Linked DNA regions of Ovis aries. The protein of the gene in region 2 binds, or shares a complex with, the protein of the main gene of each other region. Links are inferred from orthologs where the notes say so. Each region holds a gene or a part of one and is shown on either strand. Other genes may lie near its edges.

What was found.
Region 1: ZBTB8OS (region 2) and FAM98B share a complex: the UniProt entries of both Homo sapiens proteins name them as parts of the tRNA-splicing ligase complex. The link is inferred for Ovis aries from reciprocal best matches to the Homo sapiens genes ZBTB8OS and FAM98B.

The regions. Positions count from the first base shown.
Region 1 is NC_056060.1:32,293,716-32,296,713, reverse strand, and holds the end of FAM98B (protein FAM98B), read right to left. Parts: intron 1,522-2,998; coding exon 1,156-1,521; 3' UTR 655-1,155; downstream 1-654. UniProt on the Homo sapiens protein: Positively stimulates PRMT1-induced protein arginine dimethylated arginine methylation.
Region 2 is NC_056055.1:234,983,351-234,987,860, forward strand, and holds the start of ZBTB8OS (protein archease), read left to right. Parts: upstream 1-1,631; 5' UTR 1,632-1,655; coding exon 1,656-1,752; exon of another isoform or gene 1,753-1,756; intron 1,757-4,510. Other genes in the region: histone-binding protein RBBP4, read right to left, coding at 130-277, 837-852. UniProt on the Homo sapiens protein: Component of the tRNA-splicing ligase complex required to facilitate the enzymatic turnover of catalytic subunit RTCB. Together with DDX1, acts by facilitating the guanylylation of RTCB, a key intermediate step in tRNA ligation.

The DNA.
Region 1 (2,998 bases), on a different chromosome or scaffold from region 2:
CACAACAGGCGTCTATAAACTCTCAACAAATTGGACTTGGACTTAGGTCTTTATAAAACAACCTGAGAAGGCTCAAGTGTCGCATTCCTCATTTGAAAAAAGAAGACAAATTAATCTCTGAGAGCTATGGCCATTTAAGCCTACAGCCCCCACCCTGGGCTAGTGCCATGATTTAAATTCACAACTCCTGATTCCCAAGCCTTTGACTGCTCCAACCAACAAATCACATTTAAACATCCTGTAACCTTGTGTTTCCCAAATCTAACTGTGAATTATAATTACCAAAGGATATCATGGCCCTACCTTTGATCGATAAAACTGGATATAAGTGTCCTAATCCTGTACGGCACAGAGCAACCTGCCTTTTAATATTTGGATACCTAAAGCGATGCCACAAATGAAGAAACCAATTTGCAGAAATTTTTCTCACAACACCATGTAAAATTGGTTCATGTCTTTGTTCCTTTACAGTAATTCTGACCTCAGTCTTTAATTCTGCTCTGTCAAACAAAATCATACAGATTTCAAATCCAGTTGGAAAATAAATATGTGTAGCAAAAAATAGACTTGGGCTTCAATTATTGGAATTTTAACAGAAACCTGGCCAGAGGAATTGCTCAGAATAAAAGAAAAACACAAGTCATGACAACTTACTGAAGACAATTATCAGTCTCTTTTCCTATTTTGTAAAAGAGAATTAACAAATACAAAACAGCCACAGGACTACAGATGAGGCAATAAGTTTATATTCCTTTCCACTACAAGTGGGGTCATTTATGTGTCTCAGACCTGAATAAAATACAGGTAACAATCTAAATTCAATCATGACAATAAAATACTTTCCATTTTCCAAGTTTGATGGTAATAATATATTTACACTTTTAAAAATATTTTTTCCTCATTTTTTTTCTTTTTTAAAAAGACAGAACATGCTCAAGAGTACACAGAGTGTGGAAAAAATCATCACTTTGTCTAAGAGATCAAACAGTAATATAAAACAATGTTCTTTTACATAGTCAAGCCAATTCAAGAATGATACCATCAGGGAATCTAACATGGTGTTTACTTCAAAGATGACACTCAAGTAGTTATTTAGAATACTATGCCTAATGTACCTATCAAGAAGTAAGCACTGCTATCTAAATTTTGTGGCTTTTAGTATCTTCTATATCCACCACCACCTCCTCCATACGGATCTCCGTAACCTCTTCCACCATAGCCTCCTCTTCCTCCATAGCCTCCTCTTCCACCATAATCTCCCCTCCCACCATAATCTCCCCTGCCTTGGAAACCTCCTCCTCTACCACCCCCTCCCCCGGCCCCGCCCCACCCCCCTCCCCCTCCCCCTCCCCACCCGCCTCCACCACCTCTCCCACTCCCACCACCTCCTCTGCCACCTCCCCCACCCCACCCACCCCTTCCACCGCCTTCCTGTCTCTTTTGCCAAGGCGGCATCTCAGGGGGTGGTGGTTCAATTTCATTCGGCCGTCCTCCCCTGTCAGGCACCCTTCCCATCAGCACCTGTGTAAAGAAATATTTTCTTTCAGTTTCCAATATTGCAAAAGTCAAAATTTACTTAAAGGATGCAAGCAACATTGAAGTTATTGTTCTAATAAAGAAACAGAAGCCAAATATTTTAGGACATGAAAGTACCAGACATGGCAATATGAACTAATATTGAAAATATAAAAGTGATGTGTGACAAACTGCTCACAATGTGCTGTTTTTTAAACAGTGTGAGAGAATATGTATGAAACTTAAGAACTTGTTTAAACGTTTTTAGTAAATTTTATAACAAATGTAGTACCCATCACACTAAGAAAACTTTTTAGCAAAACATTTACAATGTACATAAACTTCATACCCTATACAACTTAACTCCATATTCACTCACACAACTCTGGACTTTCTATTGCCACTGGTTTGGTAATAGATTATCTCATAAAAGACTATTTCTAAGCACATTTTATTTCAACAAAGTATGAAGTACATATGATAACACGTGGGTGTAATACAGGCAGAGACGAAGGTTATCAACTGCAAAGAGCTATAAGGATTTTCAATGAACTATTCCCTTTTTTATGAGAAACTTAAGCTAACTTTCAATGATACTAGTTACTATATTATTAAAAAAATTAAGACAATATACTTCCTTAACCATGCTTCATAGTATTTCACAGAATAAACTAAGGAAGAGTTTGCTTCAAGTACCTAAATTTCTGTAGAAAGGAGCTATTTTATATGTCCATGAACAGAGACCAATAGGAAGCAAATCATTTCCTGCTAGTGTCTTTCAGTAAAGATAAAGCCAAATGTGCCTCAGCCAAAATGACCTATGAATCAGTTGTGTTCTACTTTCCTGATCCTCTAATCAAAATCATGTTTTACTACTTTATATCATAAATGAAGACAAAAAAGTACAAATTCCTCACTGTTGGACAAGCTTCAAAGTACACATATATTCTTCAAAGTATACTATAAAGTCGGCAATAATGTCCTAATTACCAAATCCAAAAAGCAGCTTTTCTTGGTTATCCTCATTGGTCTCTCCACCAAACATTCAATGTTGGTGGATATACAGGGACGCTGTTCCAAGATCTGATAATAAGATTGCCCTCAAATAATTAGACTATCAATTACAAACTCAGAAAAGAGACGGGCAATATCACTTAAGAGAACTCTTGATCCAGAAAGACCTTGATGCATGATATAAAGTAACATATTTAAAATCAGAACACTTTCAGAATAGAGGAGGCTGATCTAAAATGGAAGCAGGAAGGCCCAAGCACTGGTGCCTAACTTAACAATAATTAGCAAACCGACTTTATATACAACCATCTCCTGCTACAGGACACCTTTCTCACTGCACTGAGAATTGATATTGTAAAATTACCCAATTCCCATACTTCTGACTTTTGGCTCTTAAGTTTGTCATAGAGTGCTCAAACTGAAGAGTATATACTAGACAAGCTGATATAAACATTCTAAATTATCTTAT
Region 2 (4,510 bases):
AAAAATGTTCCCAATAGGTTCTGATCACGTGTCCGCTCCGGGTGACTGCAGAGAGGAAAACAAGGATAATCAATGTGAGAAATCTACACTGAGAACACAACAAAATAACATTCAACGGATTCTTATCACCTGGTTACATCTGGAAGCCACTGTGCAGTTAGGCTAGGCCACTCCAGAGCATGGGTCATCACCAAATCGTAAAGAAAAGGGGTGTTCTTTTTCCATATTTTGTATTCTTCGTTGATCACACGTTCTTCTACTGCGTCATCAAAGGCTGCTAAAAAATAAAAAAACAAATTAAGTTAGCGACCACAAATGGAAACCGAGTAAACACTTCCAAAGCCACCGGCACTCCTAAATCCCGATTCTGAAATGGAGATCTGTCTAAATCTCCTCGAGGCACAGCCACCAACGCCGCTCTCCGGCCTCGCGGGGCTTTAACTGCTGGGCTCATCGCTGCCAAACGCCGTTAGCCGCTCGGGCGACGGCATCGGGAGGAGCACAGAACCGGCGGGGAGGCCGGAGCACCGGCCATTGCGGGCAGAAAGCACTGCAGGGAGGACCCGAAGAGAGGCGAGCAGACCGACAGGGCGTGTGGAGAAGGACCAAACACCCGCCGGGGACCCAAACGCCTGCCTCAAGCCGCTGCGCCGGGGCCTCTGCTCTGGAGGAGCTGGCGCGCCGTTAACCCGCCCCGCGGGGCGATTCTCCTCACGCCTGCGATGGCGGGGACGACACTCAGCTGAGTCTGGCCTGTCCTCACTGTTAGGCCGTTTCGAGGCCGCTACGCAACCCCGGCACCCCCCACTCTCCTGGGGCCGCCCCGGAACCCTCACCTTCCTTGTCGGCCATGGCGGGTAGGCAAGCCGGCGGGGATCCCGGGGTTGAGCGTTGCGGGAGGGGCGGGGAGCCTGCGGGCGCTCGCTCTGCGCGCGCGGCCTCTATTGTTTCCTGCCGCCCCTGCGTGAGGGATGACTCGCGCACCTTCGCGCCAACACCGGCCAATCGGAGTGCGCCGAGCGGCGAGGTGGGCGGGGAAGTCGCGTTCGCAACCTATCCAGACGCGTAGAGTCTCTTGCCGCGGGGCCGAGGCGCGCGCTCCGCCCCTGCCCCCACACGGCCCCGAGCCGACTTCCTTCGCTTGCGCGCGCGCGGGTTGGTGAGAGTGAGCCGCCCGAGGTCACGTGAGAGGTTTAGGCCGCACGCTCCTGGGGGGGCAGCCATTTTCTTGAAGAGTGTTCAGCTAGCGACCCCTTGAAAGTAGGGCTTTGAATGAGAAATTTAGGATGTTTTGGGGTCTAGTTGGCCACTCTAGGGGTAAACTGGCAAGAAAGGCCTTTATTTCACCTCGAGGTATCTAATTCAAGTGTTGTCCTATTCCTAGATCCTCCAATATATTTGTTCCCTTACTTCTTAGGACTATTGATGAAGCACGTCCAGAAAATGGGCCTTTGGGCTTTTAAAGAACTCCAAGCGGCGAGACCTAGAACGGAAGTCTTAAGGATTAAGGTTTAGGGGATTAAGTCCTCGAGGATGGTGTTTTAGCCCTTTAAGGGTATCTGTCTAGGGGCGGAGTCTTGGGCGGATGTTGAAAGTCCGGGCTGAAGTCCGGCTGATGAAGGGCGGAAGTTGAGTTTGGGTCCAAACCCGCAATCATGGCGCAGGAAGGGGAAGATGTAAGAGATTACAATTTGACTGAGGAGCAGAAGGCGATCAAGGCCAAGTATCCTCCAGTCAGTCGGAAGTACGAGTGTGAGTAGGTGGCTCACTTCTCTCCTTGCGGGAGGGCTCTGGCTTCCTCTTCCACTTTGCGCCATAGGGTGGTTGGCGCAATTCCCGTTTTCGCCCTGTGTGAATGCTCATCTGAACTAATCCCGGGAAAGCTGAAACGCTGAAGAATAAAGACACCTGGTCTGAGAGTCGGGAAACCTGGGCTCCCCCATATACAATATCTTGAACTCTCCCTGTATATGCTAGTCACATTTATCTTATGGGAATTTTTGTTGTTTAGTTGCTGAGTCCTGTCAGATTCTGCTACCTCAGGGACTGCTGTTCGCCAGCCCCCTCCCCCGCCCCATCTCCTGGAATTTGTTCAAATTTATGTCCATTCAGTCGGTGATGCTATGGAACAATCTAATCCTTTGACCTCCTGCCCCGATTTCCTTTTGCCTTCAATTTTCCCATCATCAGTGAAAGTCGCTCAGTCGTGTCGGACTGTTGGAACCCCATGGATTATATAGTCCATGAAGTTCTCCTGGCCAAAATACTGGAGTGGGTAGCCTTTCACTTCTCCAGGAAATCTTCAGAACTCAAGGATGGAACCCAGGTCTCCCTCAATGCAGGTGGATTCTTTACCAGCTGAGCCAGCAGGAAGCATCAGGGTGTTTTTCAGTGGGTTGGCTGTTTGCACCAAGTGGCCAAAGTATTGGAACTTCAGCTTCCAACTATAGTCCTTCCAATGAATATTCAGGGTTAATGTCGTTTAGAATTGACTGGTTTGATCTCCTTGCAGGCCAAGGGACTCCCAAGACCTGTTCCAGCACCACAATTCAAAAGCATCAATTGTCCCGCGCTCAGCCTTTATGGTCCAGTGCTCACATCAGTCCGTGTGTGTGCATAGTCGCTCAGTCCTGTCGACCCTTTGCAACCCCATGGACTGTGGCCCACCGCGTTCCTCTGTCCATGGGGATTCTCCAGGCAAGAATTCTGGACTGGGTTGCCATGCCCTCCTCCAGGGGATCTTCCCATCCCAGATCAAACCCAGGTCTCTCACATTGCAGGCGGGTTCTTTACCGTCTGAGCCAGCAGGGGAGTCCCACATCCATACAAGACTGCTGGAAAAGCTATAGCTTTGTCTACACAGACCTTTGAGGGAGTTTTACTGGTGTATTCATTGTGAAGAGAGCCATGTTTTGAAGTGTTTTGTGTAACCACCCCCATCCTCATCTATCTCCAACAGTCCTGTAGTTAGAATGTGGCTAGGGTAGAGGATAAGAAAGTTATAAGTAGAGGACTACTAATGTCTTACTTGTATCCTGTGTTAGTAAAAGGACCTGGTTTGCCATTTGTAGCTTAGTGACTTTAGGCAAATCACATAACCTCTTTTTGCATTCTGTTCCTTCCTGTGAGGGCAAAATGAGATAATAATAAATGTGAAAATATAGTGCAGATTCTAAAGTTAGTCTATATAAACGTTAAATTGTTAGCCCTAAAGGTGGATGTGGTTTGGGAGCACAAATTTGGCTCTTATTTCCCCTCTAAAGTTCTTTAATTAATTTCACATTGTTCTCTGTATGCTGGTGTTTAGTTGCTAAGTCCTGTCCAACTTTTTTGACCCCATGGACTAGAGCCCATCAGGCTCCTTTGTCCATGGGTTTCCCAAGGGAAAATACTGGAGTGGGTTGACATTTCCTTCTCCAGGGGATCTTCCCAGCCCGGGTCTTGGAAAACCGTCTCCTGCTTGGTAAGCAGATTCTCTTATCACTGAGCCACCTGGGAAAGTCCTCTGTATAGAGTACAACTATTTATCATAGCATACTAGGCTCTGTACTTTCTAGACCCTGCGTGTCTCCCTAGCTCATTTTTCTCTTCAATCAATTCAGTCACTCACTCAGTTCCAACTCTGCAGCCTCATGGACTGCAGCACACCAGGCTTCCCTGTCCATCAACAACTCCCAGAACTTGCTCAAACTCATGTCAATCAAGTTGGTAATGTCATCCAACCATCTCATCCTCTGTCATCCCCTTCTCCTCCTGCCTTCAATCTTTCCTAGCATCAGGATCTTTTCAAATGAGTCAGTTTAGTCAAAGTATTGGAGTTTCAGCATCAGCCCTTCCAATGAACATTCAGGACTGATTTCCTTTAGGATTGGCTGGTTGGAACTCCTTGCAGTCCAAGGGACTCTCAAGAGTCTTCTCCAACACCGCAGTTCAAAAGCATCAATTCTTCGATGCTCAGCTTTCTTTATAGTTCAACTCACATCCATATATGACCACTGGAAAAACCATAGCCTTGACTAGACGGACCTTTGTTGGCAAAGTAATGTCTCTGCTTTTTAATAAGCTGTCTAGGTTTGTCATAGCTTTTCTTCTAAGGAGCAAGTGTCTTTTAATTTCGTGGCTGTAGTCACCATCTCCAGTAATTTTGGAGCCCAAGAAAATAAAGTCTGTCATTGTTTCCATTGTTTCCCCATCTAGTTGCCATGAAGAGATGGGATAGGGTGCTGTGATCTTTGTTTTTTGAATGTTGAGTTTTAAGCCAACTTTTTCACTCTTTCACTTTCCTCAAGAGGCTCTTTAGTTCCTCTTCTCTTTCTGCCATAGGGTGGTGTCTGAGGTTATTGATATTTCTCCCAGCAATCTTAATTCCAGCTTGTGCTTCATCCAGCCTGGCATTTCTCATGATGTACTCTGCATATAAGTTAAATAAGCAGGGTGACAGTGTATAGCCTTGAAGTACTCCTCTCCCAATTTTGAACCAGTCTGTTGTTCCATGTCTGATTCTAACCAT